5 linked regions of the Canis lupus familiaris genome follow. The protein of the gene in region 1 purifies or fractionates together with the protein of each later gene. This does not show direct contact. Links are inferred from orthologs where the notes say so. Each region holds a gene or a part of one and is shown in the gene's direction. Other genes may lie near its edges. The genes, in order: MAPK7, PFDN2, PFDN6, PFDN4 and VBP1.

Region 1 (4,096 bases):
ATAGAGAAGAGAGAGGCAGAGACACAGGCAGAGGGTGAAGCAGGCTCCATGCAGGGAGCACGATGCGGGACTCGATCCCAGGACCTCGGGGTCACGACCTGAGCGGAAGGCAGACGCTCAACCACTGAGCCATCCAGGCGTCCCCAAAACAAAGATTTTTTAAAAGTCTCTAGGCTTGCCAAAATTCATTTCTGGTCTGGACCCACTTTTCAGCCTCTAGTCCGTGATGTTAAGGAACAGACCCTGGACCTGGCACTCAGAGTCTCTACCCACCGAGCACTACTCGGGGCCAAGGAAGAGCCCCGAGCCCCCGTTCCTCTGCTTCGCAGTCTCCGTACCTTCGCCTCGACTCCCCAGCTTTCTTCTCACGTGGCGGCACCACCCCCTTTGCTCCAAAAGGCTGCTCCTCACTGCACCACCTGGAGCTCCCCGCTGCAAACCTTGCCTCCGCGCAAAGGTTCGGACGGCCCCGCCCCGAAGTCGCCGCTGCCTTCTCAGGGAAGGCTCTACCAATCAGCCACCGGGCCGTGGAGCGGGGCGGGCACCTGGACCCCGCGCAGGGGTAGAGGCCGGACGCCCCGCCCGCTGTCCCCCTGAGCTCGGCAGCAGCCCGCGGCGCGGGAGCCCTGCGACGGAGCCACCCAGCGGAGGGACCACGGCGGAGGCCGGGAAAACCCGAGCAGAGGCCCCGGCCGCCGGAAGCTCAGCCGCCGGAAGTCAGTGGCGGCTTCAGGCCGGGCGCTCTAGAATCCCGGAGGCCCAGGGTCTCTGTGGTTGGATGCGTCCGATCACTCTCTACTCTGGGTGGCGCCTTCCCGGAGCTCCCGGGACCGATGGGGAAAATGAGGAGGTGGTGCATAATTCCTCGGGCGATGAGGACTGACAGGGGAGCAGGGGCCTCAACGAGGGGGATTTCTTGAGCCGGCCGACGAGGTAACAGACCCACGCGCCGGAGCGCCGCCGCAGCCCCGGGACCTGCCGCAGTCAACCCCGCGGATGGCGGTGCGCACGCACGCACGGGGGCGTTGCCTTCCATTAGCGCGGCGCCCGGGGCTGCTAGCGCGCATGCGTCAGAAGACTGAGCCGGGCGGGGAGCCTGCGAAGCGCCGAGCGCCCTTTGGGCGGCTCCTGCGGGCAAGCTGGACAGCGGCGGGCGCGCGCGCGGGCGGGCGCGCGCGGGGGCGTGGTTTCCTCTGCAGGTGGCCTCGGATTGGACGCAGCAAGTCGGAGGGGTGGGAACCTCCGCAGAGAGCGCCCAGCGATTGGCCAGGGGCTGGAGGGAGCGTGATCTTGGGAGGCGGGGCGGGGGGACCGGCGGGGCAGAGCGCGGCGCTGAGGTGGTGGCGGCGGCCTTGAACAAGTGAGCGAGCGACTCTCGGAGTATCCCTCCACGGGGAACGGGAGCCCGGGGACGCAGGGAGCGCCGGCGACCTCCGAAGGCCGGGAGGACGCGTCGGAGTGAGGTGCCATTCGGTGAGTGTTGACCGAGAAAAGCGAAGTGCCCCGCCCCTCCCTTTCTTCCTGGACCGCGCCTGGCGGCGCCTCCCCCACCTCCCACCCTGCATTCCACCCTGGACCTGAGCTCTGGGTTCCAAGTCCGGGTGTGGGACGACTACTACGTGCCAGCCGCTCTCTTTCGCTCCCTACCTGGCCCCCGCTGGCTGAGGGAACTTGGAAATTCCCTGGTCCTGCTCCCCAGCCTCCCAGATGGGAAACTGAGGCCAGGGAGCGGGCGGCGGGCCCCTCCTCACCAGCGTCTCCACACAGACGCCATGGCTGAACCCCTGAAGGAGGAAGAGGGCGACGACGGTTCTGGGGAGCCCCCCGGGCCGGTGAAGGCGGAACCCACCAACAACGCTGCCTGTGTAGCGGCCAAGAACCTGGCCCTGCTCAAAGCCCGCTCCTTCGATGTGACCTTCGACGTGGGGGACGAGTACGAGATCATCGAGACCATAGGCAACGGGGCCTATGGGGTGGTGTCCTCCGCGCGCCGCCGTCTCACCGGTGAGCTTCCCCGTTGTGCACCGCTTACAGATGTGGAAGCGGGCCCCAGAGAGTGAGAAACCTGCCCCGTCTCAGCCCGGAAGGAAAGCTGGGATCCAAATTCTGGATCAAGTCAGCAGATACCGGTTAGGTGCCTCCTGGATGCCGGGGTCTGTGTTGGGCTCGGTTCTCTGAAACTGCTATGGTGGTTTTGCCTATTTCTTTAGAAGAGTGGCAATCTCAGACCAGAATGCAGATCCTGTCTTTGGTTTCTAAAAGTCTTTGGAGCCAGAGACTGGTGTAAGGAATTGGTGGTGGGATGGGTAAGGTCTGAGATGGACAGAGTGTAGGGAGGTAGTTGAGCACAGGCATTAGAATCGAGCCTACCACTAACTCCAACAAGTTGCTGAGCCAGGTTTTCATCATTTTCAGCTTTGAGCCGTTGGTATCCATCTCAGGATAGATGTGAAGGGAAAATCTGATAACATCCGTAAGGTGCTTAGTGCAGGCCTTGGCATGTAGTAGGTTCTTGCTATTCAGTATATGGTAACAGCCTTCTAGAAGGAAGATGTTGAAAGGGGCCTTTTGCCAATCTGCAGCTACTCTAAGGTACCTCATGGTATCTGCCTTTTCCCTGCTCCCCAGGCCAGCAGGTGGCCATTAAGAAGATCCCTAATGCTTTTGACGTGGTCACCAATGCCAAGCGGACCCTCAGGGAGCTGAAGATTCTCAAACACTTCAAGCACGACAACATCATCGCCATCAAGGACATCTTGAGGCCCACTGTGCCCTATGGGGAGTTCAAATCTGTGTAAGGAGCAGGGACGGAAGAGGAAGGCAGAGGTGGGATCTGAAGTTTTCAAAGGGCAACTGAACCTAATGTAAGGCAGGCTGGGAAAGTTCCCATTATTCCAGGACCAGTGTCCCTTAGGGCTTTGCTGGGGACAGCTGCAGTTGCTCAAGAAGAGTGCAGGTGGTTACCGGTGGTTACTGTTTTATAGAATCTTGGTAGGTAGAACCAATATAAGATGTTCATATAGTAACTGCACTCTTCTACTCTCATAGCAGATATTGCTAGTCAATCATAGAGCATTTTCTTCAAAAAAATGGGTAAGCCTTCACAGTTTTCAGAGTCTTTCAGGCAGCTATACCAAACAATGGAGATGGCCTCCAAACTAAACTTATTGGCCAGCCCTGGTTTAGTCCAACCCCATCTTTTCTTTGATGGGGAAACTAGATCTAGAGAGAAGAGTGACCTAACTTCATGGAAACATTAGAGAAAATCTAGAATCTTCATACCATCCCATTGGCCCCTGCGGCACGTGAAGATGAGGCTATTACCTGTCGAGCCGGGAGGCTGGAGTGAGGCTGGAGTGTGGGCGAGGTAGCCATGCTTATCTTTCTTGTCCCCTCTAGCTATGTGGTCCTGGACCTGATGGAGAGTGACCTGCACCAGATCATCCACTCCTCCCAGCCACTCACTCTGGAGCACGTGCGCTACTTCCTGTATCAGCTGCTTCGGGGCCTCAAGTACATGCACTCGGCTCAGGTCATCCACCGCGACCTCAAGCCCTCCAACCTGTTGGTGAATGAGAATTGTGAGCTCAAGATTGGCGACTTTGGCATGGCCCGTGGCCTGTGCACCTCGCCTGCTGAACACCAGTACTTCATGACTGAGTATGTGGCCACACGCTGGTACCGTGCTCCTGAGCTCATGCTCTCACTGCACGAGTACACACAGGCTATCGACCTGTGGTCTGTGGGCTGCATCTTTGGTGAGATGCTAGCCCGGCGCCAGCTCTTCCCAGGCAAAAATTATGTACACCAGCTGCAGCTGATCATGATGGTGCTGGGTACCCCGTCGCCAGCTGTAATCCAGGCTGTGGGGGCTGAGAGAGTGCGGGCCTACATCCAGAGCCTGCCACCACGTCAGGCTGTGCCCTGGGAGACAGTGTATCCAGGCGCCGACCGCCAGGCCCTGTCACTGCTGGGACGCATGTTGCGTTTCGAGCCTAGCGCCCGCATCTCTGCAGCTGCTGCCCTTCGCCACCCCTTCCTGGCCAAGTACCATGACCCTGATGATGAGCCTGACTGTGCCCCACCTTTTGATTTT
Region 2 (2,783 bases), on another chromosome or scaffold:
GGAGCCTGCTTCTCCCTCTGCCTGTGTCTCTGCCTCTCTCTCTCTCTGTGACTATCATAAATAAATAAAAATTAAAAAAATAAAAAATAAATAAAATAAATAAAAAAAAATAAAAACAATAAAAATAAAAAGTTCAAGAACTAGGGCAGCTTTGAGGGTTTCAAGAGAGGGATGGGGGATCCCTGGGTGGCGCAGCGGTTTGGCGCCTGCCTTTGGCCCAGGGCGCGATCCTGGAGACCCGGGATCGAATCCCACATCGGGCTCCCGGTGCATGGAGCCTGCTTCTCCCTCTGCCTGTGTCTCTGCCTCTCTCTCTCTCTCTCTCTGTGACTATCATAAATAAATAAAAATTAAAAAAAAAAAAAAAAAAGAGAGGGATGGAGGATCATCTCTATAGGACATCTAGTTGTCTTCACTCCAGCTGTCTCTGTACCTGTTTGTCTCTACCCCAGAGTCAGTTCCTGAACAGACACTCTGGTGCAGAATAGGTCACTGCCCCTGTGGACTGCCCCTGTGGTCAGGGAGCAAGGGTCCTGTGAATAGTAGCCCCACAAGCACCCCCTGAGCTAAGGAAGGCAGTTCCCCTGTGGGAGGAATGCTGGGTAGAGCCAAACGAGAGTACTCCCTACAAAGCCTTTTCCTAGAGCCTTCTTTACCTGCAAGTCTGAGCTCCTCTGCAGGTGCTCCAGGAGCTCCCCACCCATCCTGTATTATAAATGCCTATTCGTCACCACACAGAAGCTGCGAGAAGGACTGGTTAAGTTCCCCCACAGAATAGACTCTCGGTAAGTGTTTAGTGAATGGAATTTCAGACAGACTACAGGTAGAAATTACAGACTTGGACCTACTCCTGTTCCAAGGTAGGTATCCAGAGCTTGCCATCCTGTGTTGTTTTTTGAGCCTCAGCCATGTCCACTGTCTCCTCTCTCACTTAACTCTCATCTTCCAAGGTTATCGCTGGCTTCAACCGTCTTCGGCAGGAGCAGCGGGGTCTGGCATCCAAAGCAGCTGAGCTGGAGATGGAGTTGAATGAGCACAGGTGAGGAGGTCGGGGAGCACCGGTCAGTAGGAAAGTTGGAGAGGCCATTTGTAAGGGAAGGCTGCAGCAGAGAGGGGCCGCATTCTCAGATCTGCCTTGTCCCCGTGCCGCAGCCTGGTGATTGACACCTTGAAGGAGGTCGATGAGGCCCGCAGGTGCTACCGAATGGTTGGGGGCGTGCTGGTGGAGCGGACTGTCAAAGAGGTGCTGCCTGCCCTGGAGAACAACAAGGAGCAGGTGAGCAGGAGTCCTCCAGTAGAAGCTTTGGGAGCAAAGGGGAGGGGGGGCCAGGATTTAGGGAACGTGGTATAAGCAAGTGGGTGGGAACCCATGGCGAAGACCGCATGAAAGGCCCGTTAGCCATGCTTTTTATGCTTTAGTAAGTCGAACTCCTCTGACAGGAGAGGCTGCTGGCTGTCCGCCTTTTTCCCTGCGCTCTGTGGCCTGGCTGATTTGGGGGAGAGGCGGCAGTGAGAGCAGTGTGTCTCACAGTGTGGTCCATGGGTACTTGCATCCAGGTCACCTGGAGAACTGATTTAAAATGCAGTTTCCTGGACCCACTGATTCAGAACAGTTAGAGGTAAGGCCTATAGAGTGGCCTTTTTTTTTTTTTTTTTTTTCTTTTAAGTAATCTCTGTGCCCTACGTGGGGCTTGAACCCACAACCCCGAAACCAAGAGTTGCATGTTCTACCAACTGTGCCAGCTGCCCATGGAGTGGCATTTTAAAAACAAACAGCCCAAGTGATTCTTGTGTACATTGTAGTTCATAAATCATTGTATTTGAGAAAGGCATACTTTTAGTCTTTGGACTCCACTATCAATACTTGGTGAGGCTAAAGGTATCATCCCTCCTTCACATCCTCCAGCCATAGTCTATACCAGGTAGGGGAAGGGAGTCCTGAAATCCTCATATAATCCCTGTCGCTTGGCCTCTAGATACAGAAGATCATTGAGACCCTTACACAGCAGCTTCAGGCAAAAGGAAGAGAATTAAATGAATTCCGGGAAAAGCACAACATTCGTCTCATGGGGGAAGATGAGAAGCCAGCAGCCAAGGAGAACTCAGAAGGGGCTGGGGCTAAGTCCAGCTCAGCTGGAGTGTTGGTCTCCTAGGAACCAAGGTGTTTGCATTTTTTTCTACCCTGACTCCCACTTCTAATTTCTCTTTATTGTTATTATTATTATTTTCTCTGCTATTGTAATATTTTTTGTTAATTAAATGTTTTGGTCAGAATGCTTAGCTCTAGCCTGAAGCTTTCTCCCAATATGAGGGGCGGGATCTGCATGAGGCATGGAAAAGCCTATGACTTGTGGGGCTTGGTTCCATCAGGCTAATGGCTCACAGTATCAGAGGAGGTCCCATATTTTATCCTTCCCCTTGCAAATAAAGATGTGTCTACTTGTTTACTGCCCTCCCCCAAAAAAGAATCACAAACAAATGTTGACTCAGATTGAAATTTAATAAGCATTTGAAATGAGGCAGATAGGTCTGGGGGCAATGCTTTATGAGTCTGCAACAAAACAGGCGTGACAGTGCGTCTTGGCACTATTCTTTAGATAAATAGGTCCAGGATGCAAACCTGTGGACTGGGTGTCCTGCCATCCTCACCAAAGCCCCCAACCAGGTAAAGCTGATCGTTCCAAAGGCAGGTCCGGTGGCCCACACGTTTCAGCCCACGGTCTGCACAGGGGAAGTGAAACCACAGAGGAGGGGACTTTCCTGTTGGGTAAGAGAGAGGGTGC
Region 3 (2,947 bases), on another chromosome or scaffold:
TTCGACTTCGAATGTGGCAGCTATACCAGCGTTGGCAGGAGAGTAATGAAAAAAGAACCAGGTGTTATGTGGGGTGCCAGGAGAGTCACACAGTTCCTCTTCATCCAACTCACTCATATGCTCTCCCAAGCTGCAATCCCTCCTCACTCCCAGCTGGTCCTCACCTTTTTGGATTTGTCAATGCGACGGAACTTGCGAGCCACTTCCTCAGGGATGGGAGCAGGGCCTGGAAATGGATCCTGGGCCTGGGGAAGGAGGAAGCAATTAGCAGACAGGTTAGGGTTGACCCCAACCATCGCACCTGCAAAGTACAAGGCAACTTGCCCCACCACCTTATCAGGTCCCAGGCTCACCCCGGACAAATTTCTCTGAGGCTCAAGATTTCTCTGTTCTCGAGGTTTCTTCGGGAACTGAGGCTTCCCGGGGATCCGAGACTTTTTTGGGAGGTTAATGTTCTTTGGCCTCTGGGGGCGGAGCTCTCGATTCCTTTTCTTGTTACGAGGGGGCCCTGGAGAGGCTCCGGCAGCGGTCAGAGTGGCTTCCTTCTCCCAGTACCTCCGCGGTTTCTACGGGCAGATCACAAGCTCTAACACTCCATAGCCCTCGCCCCCCCACCCCCGGGACCCCGCAGCTAAAAATTTCCCTTCCACCCTAGCGAGGTCTCTACCTTCTTCTTGGTCTGAAGTCTGGCCTTCTTGGGCTGGACATCTCTGCCGGGTTTGGAGGCTGTTTCCATCTAGCCCACCGGAACGACGACCCACGTGCAAACTTCTCTCAGCTGTCCACAGACGGCTCGGAAACTCCCGGAAGCCCGCCGGCCCTCGTCCAATCAGTGCCTACCAGGTCTGAAGCCGTCTGAGCGCCATCTTGAATGAGGGCCCACTCTCTCTCGAGGGGCGGGGCAGGTCTTGGCTCCGCAATCCCGAGCAGCCGCTTATGCCCGAGTAATGAAAGAAAGGTAGTCTGGGGCTGGGGACAAAGTAACGGTGCAGTTTTTTTTTCCAGCTCCGTTTCCCTGTCTTGCCTAAAACCTCCCGGGTCCAGTTTTCTGGGGGAACACCGTTCACTAAACGTGCCAAAACTACAGTTCCCGGCATGCGTCAGAAGACAGCTTCCGGCGCCTTCTTTTCCCAGCATTCTTTGTTTACTTCCAGGTTTAGTAATAGTGAAGCGAGAACGTGAGTATGGCTGGGTTACGGTTGAGGGGCTTGGGGTCTTGCTGCGCCCGCCACCTCCTGGGGCCTGCGTGGAGGGCTCTCTGGGACGAGGAGAGGCTGTGGTGCCCTGGGAGGCTGCCTCGCAAGAGTGCTGTCCTTTCCGCAGGCCGGGCCAGAAAGGGGAGTTTAGGTACCTCCCAGAGTGAGACCCAGCGCCCGCTCCCACTCCCCGCGGGCCTTCGTCCCCGCCATGGCTGAGCTAATCCAGAAGAAGCTACAGGGAGAAGTGGAGAAATATCAGCAGCTACAGAAGGGTAAGGGAGCAGCGTCGGCGCGGCCTCGCCCCAGACCCTTCACTTACAGCCCAAAGCCAAACCAAGATAATATGTTGTGCCCCACTAGAGGCCCCGCGTGCAGCTCCTTCCCCATCTCGGAGCTCGTCCCCACCCACTGACCTGTTGCCGCCTCCTTGTCTACTTCCTCAGCTCCGTTTTCTTCTCACCAGGATTGGGGTTAGGCGGCACATGTGATGTGTTTAATCAACCCTTTCTTCCTAACCCCCAGACTTGAGTAAATCCATGTCGGGGAGACAGAAGCTTGAGGCGCAGCTAACAGAAAATAATATCGTGAAGGAGGTGAGAGAGGGATATGCCGGGCCAGAAGGGACCTGACCTGGAAGTGATTCTGATCTTGTATGTCCCATCCCTCCATCAGGAGCTGGCCCTGCTAGATGGATCCAACGTGGTCTTTAAACTTCTGGGTCCTGTGCTGGTCAAACAGGAGCTGGGAGAGGCTCGTGCCACAGTGGGGAAGAGGCTGGACTATATCACAGCTGAAATGTGAGTCTTTGTTCTGACACCCTGCAAGGCACCGGACGCCCCCAGCGTAGAATGTCGAGGAGCCGTTGGAGTAGTTCCAGGGTAGCCCTGTCTGATCTGCTTCCTCAAACCCTCCACGGGGAGTCCAGGAGAGTCCAACCCTTCAGCACCCTCAAGAGTAAATCCCATCAATTTCTCATTTGCTTGTCTCTCTTGCCTCTCTTCAGTAAGCGATACGAATCCCAGCTCCGGGACCTTGAGCGGCAGTCAGAGCAACAGAGGGAGACCCTGGCTCAGCTGCAGCAGGAGTTCCAGAGGGCCCAGGCAGCCAAGGCAGGGGCTTCTGGGAAGGCCTGACCCCATGGGGGGGGGAGGGAATGAGGCAGCTCAAGGGTCTATGCTGTAGCTAATAAAATGTGAAAACCCCTGGCTGTTTTCTGACCAGCCACTTCCTGTCATGATGGTCTCTTCCTTGGGCCCCTTCAACTTTATATATATGCCACCTGCATTACTCTGTTCGGTCCCAATTCTCGTGACTGGAATTGCCACAGAGTAATCCTCCTTTTTTCACTGAGACTAAAATCTGAAACGTCTCACACCTACTTGCCTATATACACTACGCTTGCCTTGGTTGGCATGCCCCTTAGGAAACATGAGAAGAGCATTTACCACGCAATGATCATTGGGAAGGCCAGTTTAACTACAGAGCTCACGGTAATCTAAACTGAGACCCCAGGGTGAAATGTGGTGACCCTCTTGCTATGCTTTCTTGTCATCCTCCAGAAAGCCCCAGCATCTTAGTCTCATTCTAGAATTTGTTTGAATGAAGTTTAGGCTGATTTAAAATCCCAGCATGGAACACTTTGTGATGTTGTAAGGCCCTCAAGTTTATACGTTATCCACAAAGTCATTCTTCCATTTCTTTGTCCTAAAATTGTTTCTTACAAATGTCCAACCACGGATTGTTCTTTA
Region 4 (2,589 bases), on another chromosome or scaffold:
ACGCCCAGCATGGAGCCCAATGTGGCTTTTGATCCCACAACCCCAAGATCACGACCTTAGCTGAAATCAAGAGTCTGATACTTAACCCACTGAACCACCCAAGTGCTTCTGCTATAGCTTTTTAAAACTGAATTCAGTAATACATGATTCTATTTCTCTGGGCCCGTTGTTGCATCTGACATAACCCACTCTAGTTAGTTGAAGAAAAAAAGACCTTGCTTAAGGGATGTGTGAGAACTTCCAGAGTGTTGAGGGGGTGAGCCTGGGCTGGCGCTCCAGGAGCAGACCCCAGAACCGCGTCTCCTGAGAACATGGCTGGTGCTGGAGCTGCTATTGTTTCCAGTGATCCCAGAGCCAGCCGCGTCCTCCAGCACGGGAAGCTGCGCTGCAGACCTGGGAGTGCTGGGTGGCACCCCCGGCCCTCGCCCCAGCCTCTGCCCACTCCCAACTCGGGCCTGTGCTCAGCAGCTCCTATGTGCTCCTCCGAGCTGAGCTCCAGTTCAAGGCCAGTTGACTGGTGGAATGTGGGTTCATAGCTACCTTCATCCTCTCATCGAGCAAGGCTGAGAAATGGAGGTTTGCACTGTTTTCATTCTACCACAGGAGGCAGAACTCACTAGGTGGAAATTGGCGGAGTAGGACACATTTTGCGTGGCCACAGATGCCCGCCGTCCCCCACAGATGCTTTTAGCATTCTGGAAACAGCTAGAGGCAGTGAGTTAGCTTTTAAGCGCTTCCCTAGGAAATGCCATGGAGAAATGTAAGAAAGTCTTATGTGAGTGTGGTGATACCTTTGTGAAAGGGTCTCTCACAGAGTTGGTGTCCCCAGATTAAAGTTGGCTCTTCACCTCCGTCAGGGAATTTTAATTATGAGTGTGCTTTTCATTGCCATTTACTTTTGTGTTTCTAGAAACAACTCCAGAATTTAGAAGATGCTTGTGAGGACATCATGCTTGCAGATGATGATTGCTTAATGATACCTTATCAAATTGGTGATGTTTTCATTAGCCATTCTCAAGAAGAGACACAGGAAATGTTAGAAGAAGCAAAGGTATGCTGGAGTCTTTCCCTGGGTGAGGGAGGCTGACTTCCTTTAGGGTGTGTGTTGTTATGAAGAACACGTTAATTCTAGGTGTAGGGAAATAACGGGGCCTAGGTGATACTGCATGGGTTTTTACAACATCCCGGGCATGCCATGAAATGAAAGCCTTGGAGGCATGATCTTACGTAATCCCAACAAGGGCTCTGGGAGATGCAGAGCCTTCGTCCCAACTTAGAATTGAAGGTCGGGGCTGAGAAAGGTCATGGGACTTACTCAAAGTGACATGGAGGGCCTAGGTAGCCTTTTGACCCCAGAACCCATGCTCTAAACTCACTGTGTGGAAACTATAGAATATTACGGGGTAGAAGACAAAAATCACCTATAATCCTACTACCCAGAGATAAGCACCCATAGTGGACATTTTCATTGGTTCTTATGTTTTCATCTACTCTTTTCTCTGCGTAAGTTTACTTCACATTTTGGTCAGTTAACATTCTACCAGAAGTACTTTCTCATTCTATTTAGTGTTCATTTGTCCAGCACATCTTCACTGAGGGCCTGCTCAGGGCCAAGCACACGTGCTTTTTTTTTTTTTTTTTTTTTTTTTTTTTTATGATAGTCACAGAGAGAGAGAGAGAGAGAGAGAGGCAGAGACACAGGCAGAGGGAGAAGCAGGCTCCATGCACTGGGAGCCTGATGTGGGATTCGATCCCGGGTCTCCAGGATCGCGCCCTGGGCCAAAGGCAGGCGCCAAACCACTGCGCCACCCAGGGATCCCCACGTGCTTTGAAAACATTTCTGATGACTGTCTCACATCATGCGGGTGGACACTGATTCAGTTCACTGCCCTCCTGGTGTTAACATGAATTGGTTCCCAGTATTTTCCTACAGTAATGTTGTAGTGAACATTCTTACACTCAAGTCTTTTTCACGTTTAGGATTCTTTTAGGAAATAATCAGGCAGGTGTCATTACTGGTCAGAGTATGGATTTATGGACAAAATTTGAGGCATTTGAGACATGGTATGAAATTAGTTTCCAATTCACACGCCCTCCAGCTGTCTGTGAGAGGAGCAGTCACGTGCACTTAAGACTGGTAGCTATCAAACATTTTCTCATTCTTTTGAAGTTTGCTTAATTAATATGAATATTATTTAAAATATTAGTCTCTGTTCTTCAAATGTCCTGGAAAGCAAAAATTCCTCTGAATTAAACTCATGTTTAATAAGCCTTGGGAAGAACTAACATTTCTATTCCTGAATCTTTCTATGCAGAAACATTGGTGTTTTCCCTTATGTATAAAACCTTTTTCTTTCACGGTAAAATTTTATAGTTTTGTTCTTTTTTTTTCCCACCATCCTCAGATACTCTTGTGGAATATAGGTTATAGTTTTTGTCACTGCTGTGAACGCACTTCCCTCCCTGTACCCCACACAGACAGTGAACCTTTATTCTGTTGTTCATTCATTTATCCATTCATTCCAGAAGTGTTTGTTGAGTGCTTACTCTGTATCAGGTTCTGCCATGAACCCCGATACGGGGAAGACA
Region 5 (4,186 bases), on another chromosome or scaffold:
TATGTGACTCTTATGACAGTAATCCTATTATCTTACAAATGGTTCATTTTTTTAGAGGGTGGAAGGTCAGAGGGAGAGGGAGACAGAATGTCAGGCCGGCTGCAGCCCAGCTCTGAGCCCACCGTGGAGCCTGTGGGGAGGCTCCATCCCACCACCCTGAAATCACGACCTGAGCTTGAAATCAAGTCTCACGCTTAACGACTGAGCCACCCCGGCACCACACAAATGGCTCATTTTTAAGATTCTTTTTTTTTTTAATTTTTTATTTATTTATGATAGTCACAGAGAGAGAAAGCGAGGCAGAGACACAGGCAGAGAGAAGCGGGCTCCATGCACCGGGAGCCCGATGTGGGAATCGATCCCGGGTCTCCAGGATCGCTCCCTAGGCCAAAGGCAGGCGCCAAACCGCTGCGCCACCCAGGGATCCCTAAGATTCTTTAGTTGTGTGTAAACTATGGGTGATAATAGTCCCTCTCAGCCAGAGCTTGCGGGGATTAGATAGCATGACTCAGTGGCTGGCACATAGGTAGATTTTAAGACATGTCAATCACGATTATTACTACATACGTATCCCCACTGAGTAAGGGAACTAACATCCTTTATTCATAATCGGGCTGCCTGGGTAGGGTTTGTGCGAGCGGATGCAGCAGCGCTTCACAGCGAAGCCCTGAGAGCAAGCAGAGGCGGGAGGAACGGGGTGGTTAGTTGTTGGAAAAGACACCAGAGCCTAAGTACGTAGGAGTGTGTAGCGCACTTGCTTTCAAAGGGTCGTGGTGGCGGGCGGTGTTGGGGCCGTCCGTCAGGCTGGAAGCCTCACAAGGGTCCTTAGGCTCCTCTATGTAGAATAGAGTCGTGAGACGTCTGAATTGGGGTGGCAACATGCTGGTCAAGGGTGGCTTTCGGGAAAGGCTGGTGCAGTGGGCGGGGTATTAAACTCGGGCCAGTGGCTCCACTCCGAAACGGACCCTCTGACAGCCGGGATGCTCGTCGGGATGGTGGGACCAGAAAGACACCAAGAGCACGGCCCCGCCTTGTCCTCTAGGTCGCAGACTCACTAGTAGCTGCTTGGGGCTGGGGTCGCTTCTGGGGTCATTCTGGAAGGCGCTGCCCGTTCCCGGGTGGTGCTCAGGTCTCTTCCCAGGGTCCGCAAGCCCGCCCTCGGAGCCACGGATCCTCCCCGGAGGCCGCATTGGTTCTTCCCGCACAGCCAGCGTCTCCTCGCGGCGCTTCCTGGCTCGTCACTCATCGTGCGCAGCCAATCAGCGCCCAAAGGCTGGCGAGTCGTCGCAGCTAGAAGGGGCGGCTACTTCCGGCGCGCCTGTGAACGCGCCGATCGCGCAGGCGCGGGGGCGGGCCGGCGGCTGCCAGCGAGCCAATCAGGGGCCAGCAGTGCCGGAGGCTCGCAAGGCCATTAGGCGTGCGCTCGCTTCTCCAAGATGGCGACCGCTAAGGACGGTTGTGGCTTGGGAGAAGTGGCCACGGGGAATGGGCGGCGGCTCCACCTGGGGATTCCGGAGGCCGTGTTTGTGGTAAGAGGCACGCTGGTCCTCGGCGTCTTGACGCTAGGCCGCGGGCTCCCCCTTCCTTCCCGGCCTCCATCCCGGCCTCGGCCACTGGGGGAGGAGTTGGGGTAGTGGATGCGGGAGGGAGGATGGTGCAGCGCACCGCTCTGACGGGCCGCCCCCCGGACGGCGGGTTTCGGCCTCCGCTGCTTGGGAAGGCAGAGCGGGGGGCGGCGAGAAGCCGGGAGGGACTTGAGCCAGGATGCCGGAGTGCCCGGCGGTTGCCCGGGGCTTAGGGTGCGGTGAGGACGCGGGGGCTGGCGCTCAGGTGTGCTGACGCGGAATCCCAGCCAGTCCGCCGCGGGGCTGCGGGGCCGCAAGGGGGGCGGCGAAGGGAGGACGGGGTCACGCGTGAAGGCCTCGCGTGTCCTGCTGGGAATCGAGTTCATCCGGCGGCCGGCGGGCTGTCGCTGTAAGGTGGCGCGGTGTGGTCAGGTTCGCTTAGCGCGCATCGTTCTAACAACCGTGCGGAGCGCTTGGTGTGCGCTTGGGAGCGGGGACACAGCCTAGACAGTGTCTTTCCGTTAGGCTGTTCTGGAAAGAGTGTTTCACAGCTGTTTGAATAAGGAAGGAAAACCCGACTGGCCTTCAGGGCAGTAGCATCTGTCTTTCCTCACTCGGTTCTGACCGACCTCCACTATACAGTATTAACGGAATTTTCTCGACCTTTGGCTTGTATCTATATTGCCTTGTATTCCCTTTTTGGTTGGTGATACGTTCCGACGTTCAAGATATCCATTTCTTTTATTCTTTATTTAGACCACTTGCATCTACAGTCTGCTTTGCACGTGTGCCTTTGCCGATTCAGTTTTGTGGTTCTTTTCCTTTGTTATTTTGTGTTTCCTCCGTGAGCTGTGCCATTTATTTGTTTGCATTCATTTCCCAGCTAATGGTAATGAGGAAAATTTTGCTGAGTGCCGGGCACTTTCTTAGTGCTTTTACAAAAAGCGACGAGATGGGTATTATTATGGGTGATGAAGCGGAGGGACTCGACTCACTCGGTCCCAAGTCATGGAGTGTGTAAGCAGGTTCTCCAGGGATTCGAACTGGAGCAGTCCGTGGAATATCAGAGCCCCTACTTACGTGTTCTGCGAGTGGGAGGAAAGCGAGGTACTCATGTTGGCTCAGGGCTGCTTCTCCTGGTCCTCGGGCGACACAGGGATACGTAGTAAAAGCTCACGACTAGATGTTGAATTCAATTTCTAGAGTGCTGTATATAGTATGTTCTGGGTCCTTGGCTACAGATGGCTTCAAAAATCTAATTCAGGAGCATACACTGTATCTGAGGTTTTATAAACTCTTATCTTAAAATGCCTTTCCCTCTAAAATAGCTGTGGGTTATTTTTTCTAGACATTAAAATTTCTACCAACACGGTATGATGTCTTAGCAAGCCAAACTTTATGTAATGTGAATAACATGGTATTGGAGAAAGAACTTTGGCTTCTTAATAGACCAGGGTTTGAATCCTGCCTCTACTTCCCGATCGCTGCTTGGTCTTGGGCATGTTGTTTTACCACTTTGAGCCTCTGTTATTTTCATGGAAAAAGGATGACAGTATTTAAAGAATTGCTACGAGAAGCAATATGTGCTTTCAGTATAACAAGTAGATACTTGATATATATTAATTCCTGTGATGATAGGAGGTCATATACTTTACTGGTTAAAAGTCAGACCTCATTGGGACGCCCGGGTGGCTCAGTGGTTGAGTCTCTGCCTTTGGCTCAGGGCGTGACCGCAGGGTCCTGGGATCGAATCTGGTGTGGCTCTCCCTGCACGGAGCCTGCTTCTCCCTCTGCCTGTGTCTCTGCCTCTCTCTCTGTGTCTCTCATGAGTAAATAAGTAAAATATTATAAAAAATTCTAGTAATTCTAGTTATTTTACAGTAGAGTCTATATGAGTATTGAATTTTACCTAAAATGAGACAGAATATAGCTCTTTTCCGCTGTTAACAGCCTATTGTTCTTTAGCTTATTGAATTTATTAGAAAATGCAAGAAAATGTTAAATATTAGTCATGAAAGCGAGCATTCCTCTCTACTCTGTGATTTACCTGAAATCTTAATATTTTGTTATTCAGAATGTTTGCTGTTTGTTTGTTTTTGCCTTTGTTACTTCTATTCGAATTAGCCATAAAACTTTTTAAACAGATGTATTTATTTTAGAGAGAGAGAGAGAGAGAGTGTGTGTGTGTGTGTGTGTGTGTGTGTGAGCCGGAGGGGCAGAGAGAGTGAGAGAGACAACCGTGGGGACCCCCTGTGGAGCGGGGAGCCTGACTTGGGGCTCTATCCCATGACCTGAGATGACCCGAACAGAAATCCAGAGTTAGCTACTTAACTGACTGAGCCACCCAGGCGCCCTGCCGTAAAACTTTTTATTACAGATTACTTCAGCATCTTTTATGATCTAAATTTTATTCTTTTAATATGTTGATTGACAGATGGATGATTTAATATGATGATTGACAGATTTCTTGCAGTTGAATAGTGCCCTTACACCCTTGTAGTACGATCTAATGTTCCTATGATTTGATTATTGCTGCATTCTATGTGCTGATATTTCTTGAAGCACTGTGTGCATGCCTTCCTACCACCCGCCATGGTAGACCAGTCCTCTGTGCCTTTACT

The links.
Region 2: the proteins of MAPK7 (region 1) and PFDN2 purify together in Homo sapiens (affinity purification with mass spectrometry; 3 studies listed by BioGRID and IntAct, with this or other methods). This does not show direct contact. The link is inferred for Canis lupus familiaris from reciprocal best matches to the Homo sapiens genes MAPK7 and PFDN2.
Region 3: the proteins of MAPK7 (region 1) and PFDN6 purify together in Homo sapiens (affinity purification with mass spectrometry; 3 studies listed by BioGRID and IntAct, with this or other methods). This does not show direct contact. The link is inferred for Canis lupus familiaris from reciprocal best matches to the Homo sapiens genes MAPK7 and PFDN6.
Region 4: the proteins of MAPK7 (region 1) and PFDN4 purify together in Homo sapiens (affinity purification with mass spectrometry; 3 studies listed by BioGRID and IntAct, with this or other methods). This does not show direct contact. The link is inferred for Canis lupus familiaris from reciprocal best matches to the Homo sapiens genes MAPK7 and PFDN4.
Region 5: the proteins of MAPK7 (region 1) and VBP1 purify together in Homo sapiens (affinity purification with mass spectrometry; 3 studies listed by BioGRID and IntAct, with this or other methods). This does not show direct contact. The link is inferred for Canis lupus familiaris from reciprocal best matches to the Homo sapiens genes MAPK7 and VBP1.

The regions. Positions count from the first base shown.
Region 1 is NC_049226.1:41,048,989-41,053,084, reverse strand, and holds the start of MAPK7 (mitogen-activated protein kinase 7), read left to right. Parts: upstream 1-1,282; 5' UTR 1,283-1,473; intron 1,474-1,767; 5' UTR 1,768-1,772; coding exon 1,773-2,004; intron 2,005-2,628; coding exon 2,629-2,794; intron 2,795-3,399; coding exon 3,400-4,096. UniProt on the Homo sapiens protein: Plays a role in various cellular processes such as proliferation, differentiation and cell survival. The upstream activator of MAPK7 is the MAPK kinase MAP2K5.
Region 2 is NC_049259.1:22,194,545-22,197,327, forward strand, and holds the end of PFDN2 (prefoldin subunit 2), read left to right. Parts: intron 1-950; coding exon 951-1,039; intron 1,040-1,152; coding exon 1,153-1,276; intron 1,277-1,976; coding exon 1,977-2,153; 3' UTR 2,154-2,280; downstream 2,281-2,783. Other genes in the region: KLHDC9 (kelch domain-containing protein 9), read right to left, coding at 2,594-2,760. UniProt on the Homo sapiens protein: Binds specifically to cytosolic chaperonin (c-CPN) and transfers target proteins to it. Binds to nascent polypeptide chain and promotes folding in an environment in which there are many competing pathways for nonnative proteins.
Region 3 is NC_049233.1:2,883,267-2,886,213, forward strand, and holds PFDN6 (prefoldin subunit 6), read left to right. Parts: upstream 1-1,136; 5' UTR 1,137-1,178; intron 1,179-1,323; 5' UTR 1,324-1,407; coding exon 1,408-1,471; intron 1,472-1,721; coding exon 1,722-1,792; intron 1,793-1,871; coding exon 1,872-1,996; intron 1,997-2,202; coding exon 2,203-2,332; 3' UTR 2,333-2,433; downstream 2,434-2,947. Other genes in the region: WDR46 (WD repeat-containing protein 46), read right to left, coding at 1-20, 165-245, 354-566, 668-736. UniProt on the Homo sapiens protein: Binds specifically to cytosolic chaperonin (c-CPN) and transfers target proteins to it. Binds to nascent polypeptide chain and promotes folding in an environment in which there are many competing pathways for nonnative proteins.
Region 4 is NC_049245.1:40,578,142-40,580,730, forward strand, and holds part of PFDN4 (prefoldin subunit 4), read left to right. Parts: intron 1-910; coding exon 911-1,051; intron 1,052-2,589. UniProt on the Homo sapiens protein: Binds specifically to cytosolic chaperonin (c-CPN) and transfers target proteins to it. Binds to nascent polypeptide chain and promotes folding in an environment in which there are many competing pathways for nonnative proteins.
Region 5 is NC_049260.1:124,321,896-124,326,081, forward strand, and holds the start of VBP1 (prefoldin subunit 3), read left to right. Parts: upstream 1-1,373; 5' UTR 1,374-1,436; coding exon 1,437-1,529; intron 1,530-1,710; exon of another isoform or gene 1,711-1,764; coding exon of another isoform or gene 1,765-1,830; intron 1,831-4,186. UniProt on the Homo sapiens protein: Binds specifically to cytosolic chaperonin (c-CPN) and transfers target proteins to it. Binds to nascent polypeptide chain and promotes folding in an environment in which there are many competing pathways for nonnative proteins.